Linked DNA regions of Drosophila melanogaster. The protein of the gene in region 1 interacts with the protein of each later gene in a pairwise test. Each region holds a gene or a part of one and is shown on either strand. Other genes may lie near its edges. The genes, in order: CG1737 and ACOX1.

What was found.
Region 2: the proteins of CG1737 (region 1) and ACOX1 interact in a two-hybrid assay, tested with the Drosophila melanogaster proteins (one large-scale study listed by BioGRID).

The regions. Positions count from the first base shown.
Region 1 is NC_004354.4:11,346,358-11,357,083, forward strand, and holds CG1737 (uncharacterized protein), read left to right. Parts: upstream 1-4,250; 5' UTR 4,251-4,486; exon of another isoform or gene 4,487-4,636; 5' UTR 4,637-4,920; intron 4,921-5,333; 5' UTR 5,334-5,346; coding exon 5,347-8,178; 3' UTR 8,179-9,182; downstream 9,183-10,726. Other genes in the region: GCS1 (glucosidase 1), read right to left, coding at 1-1,525; CG11756 (uncharacterized protein), read left to right, coding at 1,848-2,459; CG1738 (uncharacterized protein), read left to right, coding at 2,815-3,363; NdufV3 (NADH:ubiquinone oxidoreductase subunit V3), read left to right, coding at 3,739-4,068; dsh (dishevelled), read left to right, coding at 9,997-10,726.
Region 2 is NT_033778.4:17,755,936-17,765,041, reverse strand, and holds ACOX1 (acyl-CoA oxidase 1), read right to left. Parts: upstream 4,103-9,106; 5' UTR 3,777-4,102; coding exon 3,653-3,776; intron 2,914-3,652; coding exon 2,754-2,913; intron 2,700-2,753; coding exon 2,407-2,699; intron 2,350-2,406; coding exon 2,054-2,349; intron 1,995-2,053; coding exon 1,378-1,994; intron 1,313-1,377; coding exon 1,207-1,312; intron 1,144-1,206; coding exon 991-1,143; intron 932-990; coding exon 671-931; 3' UTR 501-670; downstream 1-500. Other genes in the region: OstDelta (oligosaccharide transferase delta subunit), read left to right, coding at 1-361; HLH54F, read right to left, coding at 4,704-5,006, 6,606-6,955, 7,392-7,467; Sardh (sarcosine dehydrogenase), read left to right, coding at 8,664-9,106. UniProt on the Drosophila melanogaster protein: Catalyzes the desaturation of acyl-CoAs to 2-trans-enoyl-CoAs. First enzyme of the fatty acid beta-oxidation pathway.

The DNA.
Region 1 (10,726 bases):
AGAACGTCGGCGGATTGGCGTTGCTATTCCGTTGCGTGACAAACTCCTCGGGCACCTTGGCCAGCGCCTCAACGCCCAGGATTTGCTCCCTGGGTATCCAGCCCTCCACGTTGAGCAAATCGAACCAATGGCATATGATATCCAGCTCGATATCGATGTCCCACGCACTGATCAACAGGCCGTGGAAGCCCTCGTCCCAAAGGAAGCCCCTGGGAAAGAAGCTACGCGACGGCACGGCCGTGTACAGTGGAGCCTTCCAGTAGGGCACCGGATTCTTTGTGTACACCGATTGCACGCGACTGGAGCCATAGAAGTAACCAATGCCGCCAAGCAGATTGCTCAATGCGTTGCGCGCAAATCGCACCTCCTCCGGCGAGTGACCCTTCTGCTTCAGCTGGAAACGATCCTCGAAACGCTGCTCAAATTGTGCTATTTTCGCCTGAAGCGAATCCTGATAGGCTCGTCCCGTCGGCGGCTTGGGTATCGACTCGCCAAGCGAAAAGCCCGACGTCGACTGGTACGTAATGTCCAGCGTGAAGTCCACCTCCGCCGTTATCTGTATGGCTATGAAATTGGGCTCCGGATTGGAGGATGGCAGGCCATTCTGCGAGACTATCTCGCCGGGCAGGCCGATGAAGCGATTGCCACGCTTGTCGGCGAAGGCGCGGAAGTGCGAGAAGAGCGTATCCTTGAGCTTGGCCAGCGACGGTGCCACCGTGCTGAGATAGGATTTATGCAGTATCTTGCCCTTGACGGCATGGAAACGCACTTGGAACTCGCCCAGGCCCTGCGCCTCACCATAGACGCCCGGCTCCGGACTCTTGTCGTCCGACACGTACTTAATGTGTCCATTGGTGCGCTCATCCAATGCCACATACCAGATTAGCGAGATGCTCTTGTCCCACGCCCTTGTCGTATTCCTCACCGATATCCTGGCAGTCCAATCGCCGCCGTACTGCTTGCCCTCTGGATACTTAACGAACGAGGTCTTCAGCTCGAAGGGCAGATCCTGGATCTCTTGAACGCCAAAACTGCGGCCATCGTGATGCGTCCAGCCGTACGAGTCCAGTTTATCGCCCTGCTCGCACCAGTGTCGAATGCCCTGGCCACCGGGGCCCAGATTACTGGGCGTATACCACATCAGGCCCATGACCAGCGAGTGCGGATCCCTGGTCTTCATGCCGAAGTACGTCAACGGACGGTAGGAGCCCCAGTAGCGATCCGGTTGCTCCAGGCCGGCATGCACCACCATCTTCTGGTGATCGAAGGGCGTGTTAACGCGCGTCTCCAGGTAGCCCAGATAGCCGAAGTACGAGGCTATCGCCAGGCAAACGCAACCAATCATCGTTTTCCATTTGTCCAGGATCAAATTCGAGGATAAACTGAAACGCGGGCTGCGCTGCTTCTGTTTGGCATTGGATGCCGCTGCTGCTGCCGCTGCCGCCGCCGCTGCTGCTGCTGCGCTCGATCCGGATGAGGATGCAGCGGGCGTGGAGCCCGAGGAGCTGCCCGTGTTCCTAGCCATTTTGCGCTTGTCCCTTGGCTCTGATTTATCGGCTATTTGTTGTTGCTTCAATTTTCTTGCGAGCGCATTGTTTTCTTTTTTATTTCGATCCGCACTGCGTTGCCGGATCATCCCAACTATTTTCTATGCGGAATTACAAGGGTTTGTGTCCTAGCTATACTATGCTATATTTGAAAACCATAAAATTAATCATTTCCAAAATTTCTTCTCCAAATTTTGTAACAAATCATTTTTCCGTCACATTTCTCGATCGTCAGAAATAAAATCGGAGCTTATGCGTCGCTTGCAATTATTTTAAATTCTTAGTAAACTTTCTTGGAAAATGCTTAAATATTTGGCTGGAATTTTCGTCAGTCCGCGCAATGACTACGCGAATGGTCGCTACAGGATTCCGCATCCGAAGAAGCTGGCCGCCAGGCGAAAGTCGCCCCCGGTGAATATATCCACGAGGAGCGTCATCAATGGCGGCAGGTCGGCAAACGGGAGGCTCAAGACGGAAAATAGAAACGCACGGCGACGTCGAGAGGGCAATCCACATCTGACGCGACCACACAGCCGATCCTCCCAGAAAACCATAGGGATCCGCCTGGATCCCATTAGCTACATCGTAAATGTGCCCAATTCCACTTCATCGCCCGACGACGACGAGGAGGAGGTGCCTGTACCGCAATTGCCCAACGCAGTAAACAAACTGAAGGCTCGAACGTATCGGAAGGAGAATTCCGATTGCCTTATTCCACCGCCAGTTAGTCGCGTCGCGAGTTGGTCGGGTCCTTTGAATGCCAGTCCCTTCAACCAGCTGGATGAGCAGAATTCCATCTCTGACGATGCGGACGCAATGGGCTGGAAAGCGATTTGTTTGCCAGATGATTTTTGGTCGGAGGATTCGGACTCGGAAAGCAAAAGCAAAATGAGTAAAATCAATGTCTTTTAATATACAAAAAATTTATTTTAAATATTATAATAGTTGACCATTCAATAAGATCTTATTATGCTTTTAATAAGTACGAAATTTTACAAATTAATGTAAAGAAATTGTATACTTAATAAATAGCAATAGACTGCAAGCTGAGCAGTTTTTCTGAAACATATTTTGAAATAAAAAGATTTTGTGACGTAATAAGGACATTAAAAAGCGCCACCTTACAAGCAACATTCATGAAAAACGGCGCTGCCAGATGGACCGAGGCGTTACGTGGGAATTAGTACATTTTGGCACTGTACATGTGCATTCAATATTTTGATTTCACTATTATTGCTGCAAATAAACACAGAAAACTGAAAGCATAATGAACGTCAGCGCCGATTTTAAGCCGGTGCCCACGCGTGCAGCGTTGGCGCTGCAAAAGAAGCAGGAGAACACCGAATTTCAGGCACACGTCTTCCACGAATCGCACTTCCAATCGAAAAGTGGAACAAAAAAGCAGGACGACGGCGTCCAAAAATCGCACAAAACCAAGGAGGGCGGCATGGAACTGAATCCCGAATTCGATATCAAGAAGGCGCGCCACGAGGTGCTCAATTTTGCGATCAAAAACCAGCGTGTGATCAAAAACAAGAGCAAAATGGAAATGTTTCAGCTGATCAAGCTGGGCGCCAAGCCGCTGAAGAAGGCCTCCAAAAACTACAAGGAGCTGAAGGACGAACGCCAGCGGCTGAAGAATATTCGCGAGGAGCGCAAGAAGTTCCATCAGTTGGGCAAAAATCAAACGGGCGCCGCCAGCGTCAAATGCCGAACAAAATCGCAAAAGGAGCGCAACGACAAGAGGCGCGCGCCCGTTTCACACATCGATCAGCACTACGGCAAGGCGCAGCCCAAGTTTAAGACGAGAAAATAGTTGTTTATATAGCTCTTAGTTAAATACTAAAACTAGCTTAGTCAAAGGATGGCACTGTTTAAAAATCAATTTATCTATTCTAGCCCTAACGTCAGGCTTAAATTATATAATATATAACTATACCAGCACTGCCAGCATCTTTAACTGTGTAAATAATAATTTAAACATTTAAACCAATTTAAAATATGACCACTTTTATTTTATGCATATTTTTGCGGCCAGGTGGCAGCTTCGCGCTCGTACGTTGCCTTGCCATATTCCTCGCCAATAAGCGCACTTTCCGCGTTACCCAACACGTCCACTTTGTTGATACGTGATTACGTGAATTATTTTTGCGAATTAAACGCTGCAAGCTAGCCAGCCATTAAGTCCAACATGTTCTCGCCCTCACGTGCCCTGCGCCCAGCCCTCAGCCGCTGCTACAGCCAGATCAAGGGCGGACCCGTTTCCGGCGGCGGTAGACCCAGCGCCTCAGGATCTCCAGCTGGAGCCGGATCCTCGCCATCGGGCGGCGCATCCTCGCCATCGGTTGTGGGACTGACCAGCAATTGCGTGAAGCCCAGCAGCGGACCCGTTGGACCAGGTGCCTCCGCCACCGGTGGCTACAAGGTGCCTGAATACTACAGCTTCAATCGCTTTAGCTACGCCGAGGCGGAGGTGGAAATGGCCAAGTACCGCTGCCCACAGCCCTCGGCCCTCAAGTAGATGTAGCCCAATTGTTGATGTTAAATAAAATAAATGCCATTTAAAGAGGACAGTTGAGAATTAGAAAAATCAGTGTTAATCGGTGTCTGTGGCCGATGGGGCAGTTGGGCTGGCAGACATTCTGCAGCACTGGCCGACCGACCGACGGACGCTATACAACACCGTATTACAGCAATCCTCCCCTCTCTTTCCAGTTCCATTTTTCCATCGACAGCGAACCATTTCGAGCGCGCCAATCATAATCGTGTTAATCGTGTCAGAAAGCAAATACAAATTGGTGCGCACATTCAGCTGTTGCAGTTACAGTCGAGCCAAACGATTTGTGTCGCCGATCGCGTGGAATTTCGCCAGCAAAACGCCGAAAAAAGCCCTCGAGAAAAGCAAAAACACACAGGGTCGCTGTGCATGTGTGTGTGTGGTACAGTTGGGTAGAAAATCATCGCCAGAGCGAGTTGCCACCTGGTTGCGCTGCTCCTCTCTCTCTTTCTCGTTCGCTCGCATTTATAATTTTTTTTCTTGTTCCGCCACTATTGCCACCACTTTTGCTGTTCTGCTTTCTGTGCAGCAGCTCAGTTGTTCAGTTCGGTTGTTGTTATTGTGTTGTGCATTCTGGCGTTTTGAAAACATTCTAAATAGCAATAGGCAATCTCTTGCCCAAAGCCCAAAAAGGAAGAAAATATAAAAAACAGTTGCCAATTAAGAGTGACCATCCGCAGCAGCAGCAGCAGCAGAGTTGCAGCGAGAGAACAATAAGCAAAAGAGAGAGCGCGGGCTTGTGAAAGTGCCAGCGAAAAGTGCGATTAAATTGAAGGCAAGCTTAACGCCCGAGAAAATGTTAAGCGATTTTCGAAGGTAAGTTGCTGAATTTCAATCAAACGATATTCTCATCGCTCCATATTCCTACGTGTTTGTGTGTTTGTGTGCATGTAGCTCTATGTGTGTGCCTGCGTGTGCATATGTGTGTGCAACGACTGGCGCGCGAAAAAGTGACGAAAATAGGCGCTAGAGTTGCCAGAGCAGCTAGCTGCACATTACACACATATCAGTGGAATACAGTGGGCCCTGGCTACGCGATACGTGTGCAATGTTGTTACTCTGTAATAAAGCTGCTTGCTTGGATTTCCAATTTCAATGCGATATTTGAAAAATACTACTAATTGCAAATGGGTGAATAACACGATCCCGCTAGCCACAACCCACTGTACTCATCCTATATGGTCACAATGTAACTAATAATCCATTCCGCCTCTTGCCCACGATTCCAGCTACCCATGAAAGATGCGGGCTGGAAAAAAAGAGGCAGCTGAAAGCGTTAAGAAGACACGTAATTGCATCGTCTACGTGAGGAATCTGTACGACGAGTCGTCTTCGCGTAAAGACACGCCAGCCGGCAAACTGAAAGGGAGAGATAACCAACGGGAGGTGCAGCAGGAGCTGCGTGGGACCCGCACCACAAGACGTCAATCCGTCGTCCAGGAGAAGCCCACTCCGCGCACCAGGCACGCTGTGAAGCCAGCAGCGTTATCGCCATCACCATCGTCGCCATCGGCGCGTTCCAAGCTCAGCAGGGAGTCGGCCGTCAAGGAGCAGCCATCCAGCAATCTGGCCAAACGACGCGGCAATTTGCTGCTGGGAGGCAGCAATCATCCCCTGTCCATTAGTCCTCACAAGTTGGGTCTGGACAAGCCACAGCGACGGCGATCCGTTCAAGCGGAGACGCCGAAGATGTTCAAGGTGGTGTCCAGCAAGCGCGTATCGACGAGTCCGCCGCCCACCATTGCGGCCAGTCGTTCGCGCCGATCGATCAAACCGAATCCAAAGTATGTCAGCGAGGATATAGTGACGCCAAAGTACTTGGCCGCCCTGGCCGATGGCGGTGGCCAGTCCATCGGCACGAACGACAGACGCTTGGTCCGCCTGCCGCGAGATGAAATCAGCGATATGCTGGAATTCGAAGAGGACGATGATGACGAAGTGGCGGACGCCGCCTTCAATCCGCAACTGCACAAGTCCGACGATGACGACGACGACGATATAAGCGAGGCCGAGTACGAGCAGGAGCTGCGACGCAAACAGCCGCCCGTCAAGCGTGGACGTGGACGTCCACCGAAGGCGAAAAATGTCAATGCCAATGCCAGCGCGACCAGCGCTGGCAATCTGACTTCCAGCAGCGGCGCCACATCCAAGATATCCATAAATTCGAGCAGCGGCCGCACGGCGTCCACTAGCCTGCAGCAGATGCGTCGCACAATGGCCACGAATATGGCCAAAAGCAATGCCAGCATGACAGACGGATCGAGCACGGGCAAGGGCACTGCGTCCGCCGCGGCCAAACGCAAAATGGACACTAGCGAAAGCGAGAGTCCTGTGCCACGCAAGCGCATAATCATTTCGGGCGGCTCCCAGCAGCGCAGCGGACCGCCTGTGGTGAATGGTGCCAACAGCAAGATGAGCGCGCAGAGAGCGATCACGGCGCGACCGAAGGTGGGCCAGGCGGGCAGTGCGTCAGCCAGGATGCTGCCACAGCGACGCGGCAGCAGTAACAAGATAAACTCATTGTCGAACTCCAATTCGAATTCGATTAGATCCACGCCCGCAACGCGCTCAACTGGCGGTGGTGGTGGCGGCGGCAAGGGTGACGCTAGCAATGATGGGAAAAACGATTCCGAATCGGAGGATATGCCCACATTCACCATTGTAAACATCGATGACATTATCAATCAGGACGATGTGCTCATTTCCAGATCACACACTGCTATGGCCGCTTCCGCAGCTGGCGGTAATTCAATCAAAAAGGTCGCTTTGGGCAGGCCCCGTACCAAGAATATCGGAACCGGCAATTCGGTTGCCGGCGATAAGAAATCCATCACTGTTAACAGCACGCAGAAATCCCTGTCCGCTGCTGTTAACCACAACAATACGACGGCGGGGAATCCAGCCAAGCGCATCAAGATCTTGGCCAGCAACAGTAGTGTCAATACCAAAATGGGACCAGTGCATATCCAGAGTCAACTGCCGAAGCCCCGGCCCAGGATACTCAACGCGGAAATGGGCAAGAAGACGCAGTCGATGAAACCGCTGATGAGCATGGGCAAGGAGCTCTGTCCCACGGACGTCGACACCGAAGAGGACGATCCGGATCCAGATCTCGATTTTGATATCGATAATATACCGGTATCTATTGTTACCCGTAAGAATGCCAATGTCAATGCCAATGCCAAGTCCAAGCAGGTGACGACAACGACGTCGGTGGCGGCGTCGGCGGCGATGACGTCCGCTCCAGCAGCGGTAGCGGTTAACAAGTTGAACAACAATCGGCGCAATGTGCTGTCCACGACAGCGTCGTCGGTGAATGCGCTGATTGCGGACCGGAGGCTGAGCAATCTGCTGGCCGATAACGATGTCCAGCCGGTGTTCAAGAAGCCGAGCCTGGTTCCGCAGCGTCGCAGCAAGGAGAACCAGCAGGAGCAGCAGCGCGACAAGGAGCTGACAACGCTGCGCGAAATATTGCCCACCGGCGGTGGCATCGACGATGCCAACAGTCCCAAATATTTTCCGCCCGAGACCACAACGTTTCACGAGGAGGATGGTCGTGTGGTAAAGAAGATCACCTGCTATGAGACGTGGCATGTGGTTAGCACGGCCAAGGATATGTTGTCGAAGATGGCGCGCCAGCAGCGCACCTGCCTGGAGCTGGCGCTGGTCAAGCTGGCCAATGTGGCGTCACGGATAAAGGTGCCATCGGGCAAATGGACCAGCAAGGTGACGCTGTACAAGGTCTCGCCGTCGATGATGCCCCGCCAGACAATGACCATCTTTACGGGCGATCTCAAGGCGTACAACATACCCGAGGAGGACCGTCACAAGTATCAGCCGTCGTGCGTGCTCTTCCGGCGCGTTGTCGTTGACAAGAACACGTGCCGCGTGCCCTACGATCGGGCCGTCATCTTCAAGAACAAATGCTTCTATGCGAACATCGATGGCAAGCATGTGAATCTGTTGGGTGCCCCCGAGACGGTTGCCACCATCAAGGATGTGGAGATCCTGCTGGATATCGTCGATCGCCTCTCGATCAGCAGCAACATTGTCGAGCTGGTCAACGCTAAGTGAGCGTGGAGGCCTGGTCCATGGTGGCCACAGGAAGAGCACGTATCACATTGTAAAAAATAATTCACACACAGCACTCCCCTCCCCATCCCCATCCCCCTCCCCCATACACATACACAAACAAACAAAGCGGACACTCGATAATTCGTTTTATGCTGTAGTTGTAATAAAACAGATACAAGTTTTTTTTTGTAAAACCATTAACTTAGTTGTAATAGCTAGTGTAGCGTAAATTTATATATATTTATATGTATATATATATATGTATGTATATAAATATATATTAATATATATACACGTATATATAATTATATATTTATATATATGAATATATATATATATATATTTATATAAATTTTTATATATATATATCTCGTATATTATAAACAGCGGACGGACATACATAAATACAAACGGCAGATGTATCTATGTAATATAAACTAAACTAAAGAAAACAATTAATTGTAAAATGCTCGCCCAACTCTCGAAGGGATTGCGAAGTTCCGGGCGGTCGAGGTATATCAATAATGATTTTTATTTTAAATGCGTTGGAATACATAGCCCCCCTCCGCCTTCCCCGCGAGTCCCGCCCCCTTCGAAATCCTTTTTTTTTAAATTGCTATTATCGTAGTCGATTCAATAATATAAAACCGGGCGTACATGTGCCTACGCCCGCGTGGAGGACTAGCCAGTAAGTTAGTCGAGTGTATATCTAAGTGATCCCAATTCAAAGCATACAAATAAAAGAGAAAACTGATTTAAATAACGAGCGCCATTGCGTGATAAATGGCGGGCGGGGTTATCTGGAAATCGGGCAGCTATAAATAAACTGCGGCCAACGCTAGAGATTTTCGTGTGAAAAGCGAAAGAAGATAAGGAACGCAGGCTTCAAGTGGATGGATGGATGAGTTTCCTTGGTCAAGTTTCCATGACAAGGATAAAGACTCTACTTTTAAACAGGACACTCTTCAACTATGCTACATCATTATATGGTAAATTAATACAATTAAGAGTTCAATATAGCTGTAGTTTTAGATTCTACATGTTTTATGTAATAGAAATTGCTATTTTGTTAAATTATAATAAATTTATTGTTTTGAATAAGTATTCAAATTAAACGATATTTATCGATAACTTTGGTATTTAATTTTAAAAGTGTTTGAACTACATTCAAATTGTAAAGCAAATATCGTTAGAGAGAGCATTTCCAATAGAAACTAAATACATTGCAGTTTTTAGTAGTTTTCCATACGCTTTTTCAGAATATTCGTTTGAGAAAATGTTAAGAATGTTCGAATTCGAAAGGGTCTGGCATCGCCGGCAGTGTGACCAACTGCCCGGCGCTTTGGCATTCCGTGCGTGACGAGCGGCTAACACACTGTTTTTTTTTAGTCTCAAAATTCTAACAAATTTATTGATAAACTAGCAATATGCTCGTTTCGCCCTGCCCCCGCTGCGTGCACCGACATTAAAGCGCACCAAATCGTGCTAATGGAGCAATATCAACGCCGTGCAAATCGACGAATTAACAGCCGCCGCTTCCATTGAATCGAAATACCCAGCCCAAAAAAAAGAGAAAGAAAAAGTAAAAGAAACGCGTGCGAGAGCGAGAGGGCTAGAGCGACCAGGGGGAGAAAAGCAAAATCGAGTGAATTTTGTTTGTTGTATCGGCTTTTCCCTGGCTTAATCCCGTTTTCCCTGTGATTTTTCCCCACCAACTTCCCACGCCACCTCCCCACCGCATCCATCGCATTTCGTTTTGATCGCGTTTTATCGCGTCGAGGAGTTTTCCCGTGGATTTCCGCAGTCGGCGCAGCTAAAATGGACGCGGACAGGGGCGGCGGGCAGGAGACGAAGGTGATATACCACATCGACGATGAGACGACGCCGTATCTGGTGAAGATCCCCATTCCATCCGCCCAGGTGACGCTGCGCGATTTCAAGCTGGTGCTGAACAAGCAGAACAACAACTACAAGTACTTCTTCAAGTCAATGGACGCCGATTTCGGTGTGGTCAAAGAGGAAATAGCCGACGACTCCACCATACTGCCCTGCTTCAATGGGCGAGTGGTGTCCTGGCTGGTCTCCGCCGATGGTACCAATCAGTCAGATAACTGCTCCGAGCTGCCAACCAGTGAGTGTGAATTGGGCATGGGTCTGACCAACAGGAAGCTACAGCAGCAACAGCAGCAGCATCAGCAGCAGCAACAACAACAGCAGCAGCAGCACCAGCAACAGCAACAACAACAGCAGCAGCAGGTGCAGCCTGTCCAGCTGGCGCAGCAGCAACAGCAGCAGGTGCTCCATCACCAGAAGATGATGGGCAATCCGCTGCTGCAGCCGCCACCGCTCACATATCAATCGGCATCCGTGCTCTCCAGCGATCTGGACTCGACCAGTCTCTTTGGCACCGAATCCGAATTGACGCTGGACCGCGACATGACCGACTATAGCAGCGTTCAGCGATTGCAGGTGCGCAAGAAGCCGCAGAGGCGCAAAAAACGGGCGCCCAGCATGTCGCGCACCTCCTCGTACAGCTCCATAACCGACT
Region 2 (9,106 bases), on another chromosome or scaffold:
TAAGAACACTTCTGGTCCCCTGCCCGAAATCATCCATCAGTTCCGAGTGCCCGATAAGCGCCCGCCCCGCATTGTTTCTGATATCTTCACCGGACTGTGCATAACCCCGCTTGTGCTGCTTTTCGTTTTTTGGGGAAAACTGGGCATCAATGTATCTAACCTGACGCTGGCACCGAGTACGATCGGGTTTCATCTGGGTTTCGGTGGCATTCTGGTGCTGTTCTTCGTGTTCTGGCTGCAGCTTAACATGTTCCAGACACTGCGCCTGCTGATTCCCATCGCAGTATTCACATTCCTGGCTGGCAACCGATTACTGAGACGTCTTTACGCACAACGTAACTCGAAGGCAAGTGCGTCGTAAGTGCGTTCATCATTGTACGAAGTCAATAAGTGAGCTACTCTCTATCTTGCAACACCATCAGAAAACAAACTTTAATAAAGCGATTTAGTTAAGCCCAAACACACACTAAATACTGCCTTTAAATATAGTTGAATATTTTATTTGTGTATAATTTTACAGCCTAGTTTCAACTGCACAAGCCCTGACATCATAATTGTCTTAAAGACCATTTGCTAAGCAGACAGTTGTATAATACAAAAACAATGGAAACAAATGTATATTTACAATAATAACACTTGTGAAAATCTTCCAGAGCAATAGGATATGAATCTAGAGGTGAGCCTTCATGAATGGCTTCAAGTACTTGTGGAATGCTCCGTTGACTGGCTCCTTGTTCAACGGGTTCTTCTTCGTAGACTCGAAGATGTGTTCGTAAACATTTCCATCATAGGCACCCAATGCGGAATCTAGCACGCGATCGTGAAGATCAAAGCTGTCCACCAAGCTGACGGCATTCGGCCGGAATCGTTTTAAGCAGTTCTCCAGGCGAACCTCCAGTTTCGTGACATCTTGATCAGTGAGATCAATGAACTGTTGAAAGTTACATATAACATTAAATATTCTTAACTAATATCAATTTAAAATCGTACCCGCAAGAAGTCGCCAATGCGGTTGAGGCAGGCGTCTACCAGATACAGCTCCAGCACCACCTTTAGGACTTCAGCTAGTTCTGGGGACACCTCGCGCGACAAGGCCAAAAGCTCCGTATAGGCAGTCTGCGCTAGGAAGGCGCGTCCATGAAGCTACAAGTGGTACAAAATTATATAGGATACTGAGTGAATAACAGATATTTCATTACGACTTACATCTGCAGCTGCTGTTAGGAAGGTGCCACATAGATTAGCTGCCACCTCGGTACCATAACCTTGCTTGCGGCGCAGTTCAATCTGCTCATAGGCAATTCGGGTTTTGCTGATATAAAAATATGAATTTAAATACTTGGTACTTCTACCTTTTTTTCTTTAGTAAATACTTACTTGGCGGCAACGAATTGGAAAGCCTTGACAATAGACCTCAATGATCCGTCAAAGTTAACAAACTTGGTTTGGTTTATTGCATCACTGATGTACGAAACCGTTGGCACCAGCTTCTCTCCATTCAAGGCCTGCCCATAAACCTTCACCAAATAGCGAGCAGTCTGCAGCAGCATCACTGTGTTCTCGCCCTCATAGGTGCAAACGGCCGTGGTCATGCCGTATATCGTGGGGAAGTTGGAGCAGTCCATGTAGCCATGTCCGCCACATGACAGACGACACGTTTCCACGCCGGCGGCGGCATCGGCACTACAGATGGCCTTAAGGCAGCAGGACAATGCATGCATTTCGGGCAGGCGATCCAAGTTACCCTGCTCAATCTCGCCAGATATCACGTTGTACATATTCCAGATGCCATCACCCGTCGTTTTGAAAACGATGGCTTTAGCTATCTGGGGGAACAACTTCAACTGCTGCGTGGTATGGTCCATGATTTGGGGCTCCGGTTGATTGGGATCAATGGGACTCTGTCGGCGAACAGCTGAATACCTAGTGGCAATAGTGGATGCCTTTGCCAGGCTCTGAGCGGTATCACGGATAAGAGCACAACGCACAAACATCTTGAATGAAAAAATGGTTAAAATCTCTGTGAAGATATAGTGAATATGTGTAATAGTACCATAGTTCCGTAGGTAAGCACGCTATTCTTCGGCGCCACATATGTGCCATCGGGCAGCACTTGCTGGTTCTTCATCAGCATGTTGTTTAAAGGCACCCGTACGTTCTTCAGTCCCAAATAGCCATTGTTGACACCCTTCATGCCCAGCTTGGTACCAATATCTCCAATGTCGATGCCGGGCATGGGACGGTGAGTATCGGAATCCCTCAATTGGACAATAAAAGGAGCCAGACCACGGAACTCGCCCTTGGTGTAGAGTTGTGCCACCACAACCGCATGGTTAGCAGTGTGTCCCACTGCAAGTCCCAGATTTTATAACAATTTCAAAATATTAAGTGTTCAAGAAAACTCACATCCACCGGGCCACCACTTGTATGCACTGAGTGATGGAGTGTTTATAACAAACTCCTGGGTGCTGGCATCGTAGTCAGCCCTGGTCTCCAGACCGCGCAGGAAGGTTCCGTGTCCCAGTTCCGTTTGGGCATAGGTGCCAATGATTTCACAGTCCCAGGCCTTGCTCAGCCATTCCACCTGCTGATCCATCGTTCCCTGGCCCATGATGGTGGGCACGAACATCACGTAGTGCAGCGCAAGCGGATTGCCCTCCTTTAGAATAGCCGATCCCAAGGATCCACCAAGCAGAGCACTATAAGCACACAAATTACAACCTGAAGTACATTAAATATAAGGATTTCTTTACTTGTAAGTATCCACTCCATCCTCGCCATCAGCACGTAGCTTGCGGATCTTCTCTCCTATGATGCAGGCTTTGCGCAAGCTGTGCTCATAGAGCTCCTTGTGTGACAAATAGGAAATGGGCAAGTCGTCCTGAAGGGCTGGATCCTCCAAAAACAATTTCTCTGGAAAAATCATAAACGAAATTTAATGTAAATGAAGCCATAAGGAAAGGGATTTAATATTTTAGGAGGTGTCATTTAGATAAGCATTGTTGAATTTTGCAGCGTAATCATGAGTGGAAAGTATTCTTCGTTAATTCGCGGGAGTTACTGGGCATTGTCCATTTATGATGCCCTGAGCGACCGTGCAAATCTGTCAGATAAACCTATCAGCTAAACTAATTTCAAGTGGACCTGGAAATAGATGGTGGGTAGCTGCAAACATTCAAAGTACACAAGTAGTCGGATTGATCGCGATTCGCGCGAAGTTCAAAGATTAATAACTTATGAGCTGGCTAATAGGTGCTGATTAACTAGTAGCGGCTTGTTTATGCGGAATACATAATTAATGAACTTTGGGCCACGGCGTGCAGCAAAATCAACAAATCGCATGAATGAATGGACGGAGAAGAAGCGTATCAAAACAAAGAAGTTGACAGGATGTTTTGGATAATTTATCAGTGGCTGACATGGCTAGCATCAGAGTTTGTACCCTACAGATTAGCTATAAATGCGTTAAAGCCTAGCTTAATTGCCAAGTCATGCTTTTGGCACAATTTCTTGCATCCACTGTTGGGAAACGCGATTGCGCCAAGCTCAGATAAAGCTCTGAGCGACCGGTTAATGTGAATGTACATGTAGGTCTGTCGGGGTCACCGGAGAAGCTTGAAATCCGGTGTTTTTCCCTTCTAAGCTAACTCACCCAGGGCCTTCTTCTCCTTGAATCGCTCCTCGCCGCCGGCCCACAGAACGGAGAACTCCCGGGGATTGAAGGTGGCCGTGCTGCGTTCCTTCTGGAGATCGGGATTCACTGGTTTGGCTGGCATTTTGCTATGCGGCACAGTATTCAAGTCACGTAAACAGGTTATGGATTAACGAGCCACCGCAAAGCGTCCGTCTTCGTTGAATATCGCGTACTGACTGATTGTTGCTGGAAAGGCGAATTGCGCTCAGTGGTCAGTCAGTCGGTCACTCAAGTGCTGGTGGAGGAAATCCAGTGGAGGAGATTGAGATTATGGACTGCTGATCTGATCCAGCTATTCCGAATCTAATCATCGATGCCAGCTCTCGAACGACGTGAACTTTAACCGCGAAAATACACATGTAATAAGTTCGCTTTTGTGTTGAAATAGTCTGTAGCACAACCATTATTCTCACGCCATTGTTGTTGGGCTACATTTATGAGTAAATACACAAAATAAATACACTGCATGTAAAAAGTACTTGGGCGTTTTCTTTCAGTTTGTTTCTAATTTAAATAAGATTGCTTTCATAAGCTTCTTTGTTCGTATAATTTGTTTGCAAGTGAATAATGCAAATTCACTACATCTTTCTGCATAAATAACATCTTTAAAATGTCTCAAATTAGCCGTTTTAAAAAAAGTAGGGTATTTGAATTCCGCCTTAATTAATAGATTAATTTTGTTTTTAGCAGCTCTTTGTTTGTATTGTGACGAAATCAGCTGTTGAACAGGGCTGCAAAATACAAACAAGTACGGCAGCACTCGACAACTCCAGGGATACAGTCACCATAATCTTGGCGCCAATTCAAAAAAATTCAAAAATTCCAATTTTATTAAAAACATAGATATATTTGCTAGCTAAATGATCATGAGGTAACACCAATCTTTGGCCTTATAGCATAGGTTCAGGCTTGCACATACGGAAACACGTAAAATTAAATCACGATTTAATACACTTACTAGGTGGTAAATTCATTTGGCTTAGGTCAGAACATTATTTATAATATCCGCTTAAATGCCATGGGCATGGCTAGTGGCTATAGCTATGCCCCGCTGATGCTGCCCCATTCCAGAGTCATAGGAACAGCTGGCCGCTGGCTCCATTTGATGCACTTCCGCCGGATACCAGTGACTGTGAGATTCCGGCAACTGATGGTAACTTAGATCCGCCGAAACATGGGTTTCGCCTCGCGTAGTCTTCGGATAAGATTGCGTATGCAGGGTTTGCCAATCCATACGGGCGGATGAGGTGGTTGATGATGATGGGGCAAATGCCAAACTCCGGCTACTCTGGTGGAACTCAAAGGGCCAGCTCTGCAAGACAGTATAATGTGGAATGTGTGGATAAAACAGGCATAAATCATAGGAGTTGTGGAAACCGCAGGGGCTATATATGGAACAATATGACGACAACCCATCCCGAGACAGCGCCATTGTTTGTTTACGCAACTTTGATTGTTTTTAGTGCCCACCCCCGCCTCCACGTCTAGATCTACAATAACAGCCTCATTAACGGATCTATAAAAACATAAACAGCCAAACACTTGCGGACAAGAGACACTCATTTGTATGCCATACAATGAGGGATTGGAAATGGGATATAGGGATGCTAGGGCTAGCGAGCAAATAGCGAACCAATGGGTTGTTCCCAACAGATCATCTTGGGCGCGTGGATGGTATAAATTCGGATAGGGTCGGGACTCTCCGATCCGATCTGATTTGCCACCATATGGGCACAAGACGGAGCCGTATTTGCTGAATTTTTCACGCATTCGGTGTGTAAACAATTGCATCTATTTAGATAAGTTGTGCACGCCATGAATCTTGAGTGATAGATTGTGTAAACTCCAGCGGGAATGGCTGATGGATAAACACGGTTAGACAAATTTTAATTACAATAATCCGAGTGGGAAAACTACTGAGGATGACACTTTCCCTCGCATGTCATTCACTGTGTCGCTTCAAAGCATCAAGAGCATCTTTAAAAATAAAAAATAAAAGCAAAGACTAACTAGTGCCCCCCATCCAGATCCGCAGGTCTGCGTTACCATCTCCGTTCCCTGCCCGCTCCACCAACAGCCTGTCACTCATATTTAATATTTTCGAAATTCACAAAAGTATCGGATTACAGGAAAGCAAGGCAGTCTGAAATCACAAAATGTGATTTCGGTGTTCTAGTGGGGGGCCCGGCTGAATGGCTGACTCCGGTCATGGGATGTGGATGTGGTTACGTTTGTGGTTCACCTCCACATCTAGAAAAGGTGGAAATACTTGTCGCCGCATCGCGTCCGCATCACCAAGCAGATGTTGCACCACATTCCTTTGGATTTTTGATCTATATTTCGCTAAAATTGCGTTGAATTACCCCTATAAGTTGAGTAGTATTACTAAATACTTAAGTTGCTTGTTAAAAAAAAAATGAGAATAATAGATTGCGTATACGTTTAAATTGTAATAGTATCAATTTTTTAAATTTTAAACACTGAAGCCTGGGTTTCCGTGTAACTTTCCACGATCTCTAAGTTAAAATTCTACGAAAGGCTAATTTCAACTAGCAAAATTTACAAATATCTACCTACTTTATTTCCTTAATGGCTTTTCAAAGAAAACGCATAAAAGAAAAATTTTCATTCCCAATACCAAACTTTCCATAAAAAGACATAAACTTATGGGAATCCCGATCGGCTGAACATTACTTCTCAATTAGACTGAAATCCATGAATAAACATTGATCTTGGGCATATCACTGGGCATCCCCTGCGACACCTGTCATTAACTGACGAGATCCACCTGAAGTGGCCGGCTCATTAATGCGTTCCCGTTCCCCCGAGCCGCGGGTGCAGTGCATCGTTAAGTGGTGGCAGTGACATCACTTATATTCGGGCAGGGGGATCGCAATTGCATGACACTTACCATGCCGTGTCCGTTGTTGTGGAAATTATAATTGCCTCCACCGGACGAATCTGCCATGTGACTTGTGTCCAGGCCTTCGGAACTGGTGGTACTCGAGTGACTGTGGTTGAGGCTGTGGTGCTGGTTGTGGTTGTGCGGGTGGTTCTGCGAGTGGCTGCCTGTCTCCACAGCCGTAATTAGCTGCTTGATGTAGAGCGTGGCCAAACGCAACGTGTCCAACTTGGAGAGCTTCGTGTCCGGCGGAATGTTGGGCAGCTTGGTCTTCAAACGTCCGTAGGCGCTGGATAAAACCCGCATACGCATCCGCTCCCGGGCATTTGCCGCATTTCGCTGCACCGGCGGTTGGGAGCCTGGAAAATCAGAAATGTAGATACATCTTAAGGAGCTCCAATAACAAGAGATTAATTAGAAACAAAAGGTTTTATTGGTATCCACAAAAGTTTTAAGTTACATTATAGATATCTTCGCAAAGTATGAAGTTCAAAAAGCATATGGAGTATGAATTTTAAACTCAATTTATATCTATTGTGCTTTCTGTTATTATAATTTTTATCATTATTATTATATTTTCATTTAGAGCTTAACGCATTTTAAATTAACATTCCTTTTAAGGTAAATTCTAAAGTTCGATTTAAAAAATTCTAAGGAAATTGAATTTTACTTTAAAGTAAATAATAAATTTACAAAACTAGCTAAACATATTTACATTGTCAACGTTTTTAAGCGTTTATAATACATCTTTTTAATATAAGTACAAAATCACCTATAAATTGAAATCGAACTCACTTTGAGAACTGGCATCCTCATCGAAGTCGTCATCAAAGAACTCCGTGGGGCTGGAACTGCGCTTCTTGCGTGGCATTGTTCAAAAACAAGTTGGTGGTATCACAAGAATCACTTCGAATATTTTCAAATTGGATATAAAATTCCAATCACTCAGTTTTCTCACTTAAAATCGAAACGCACCGAACCGAAACCAATCTGTGAGTCGAATACGTCCGATCTGCGTGGCACGTAGAGCACTTCTGTCACGGGTTACGGGGAGATCCTCCTTTTTGAGCATTCTGCTCCGCAGTTTGCAGCTCTCCAGATTCCGTCTATTTCTGGCACCTCTGGTGGGCGTGCCTGCTCCGCAAACAGTCCCAATTGGCGGAGGAATCCGGACACATGGTGCGATCGGCGGTCTCTTTCTCGGTTGTTTGCCTTCTGGCTGCCACCACATTGGCCACACAGTGTTCCTCCGTCGGTCTGCGGGAAAATTCAAAATGAAACGCTCGGTTTATCCGGTTCACTACGGGCGTTGGAGTGGGGATGTTGTGCCGTAAGGATGTGCGACGGGCGAGTGCGAAGCGTGCCAAGACTCCGGCTCCAGATGGCACCACCTGGTATTCGATCTCGCAGTGCATTTGGAGATAGGCATTAATGGCAGATCGGAAGAGATTATAATCCTGGGGTTCAACTGCGTATCCTGTTTGGGGTCGCCGCGATGGTTGGCATTTGAGTATGGGTCCAAAATTTCATTGCTTATGTGGGGAGTTTTAAGTTCCGAGAACGATTTTGACTTTTCAAATTTTCTGCGGGAAATGAAAATACTCGAAAATATATGTACATATATGTAGGCAACACTTTGTTTAATCTATAGAATTTACGTTTTCTTTAAGTGCTTTTAAAAGAAAAGCAAGAGTTTAATAAATCTATTTATATGAATGGATTAATTGAAACCACAACATATTAGCAAGAAGCATCTGTTAAACCGCATCTTTATTGAAACTAAAAATTTGCTCAGATTAAATTGTTTTTTGACCTACGTAGCTGCTAACTAATTTTACTACTTGCCACGCCTCCGAACCCAGATAAGAAACGTGCTGTGACCCTAAAACGTGGCCTTGATTAGGGCCTCCAGTCATGGATGGAACGTCACTGGCACAGCAGGTTTATCAGGATGCTGAACCATGGGTTATCCGATCAATTCAGCGGGAGATTATTATGGCGGTATTGTGTTTTTAACTCGAGAATTCAGTTGAGATTCTAAAGTCGTCGCGCTCGGCCGTTTTTGAGATGTGGCGCCATCGCATCCTGCAGCAAGCTTCGCGCCGTGGAATCAGCAAACAAGTGAGGGAAGATGGAGGAGCTCGAAGGGAACCAAGTGGATTCCTGCCAGGCGCAGCAGATGTTGTGGTTATTGGCGGTGGTTCGGCGGGCTGTCACACACTGTATCACCTGGCACGACGTGGTGTCAAGGCCGTGCTCCTGGAACGCGCCCAACTTACGGCCGGAACCACCTGGCACACGGCTGGATTGCTGTGGCGCCTGCGTCCCAACGATGTGGATATTCAGCTGCTGGCTAATTCACGTCGCATGCTGCAGCAATTGGAGGAGGAAACGGAGCTGGATCCGGGATGGATTCAAAATGGTGGCATCTTCATTGCTCACAATGAAACGCGACTGGACGAGTATCGCAGACTGGCCACTGTGGGCTCAGCTTTGGGTATTGAAAACCA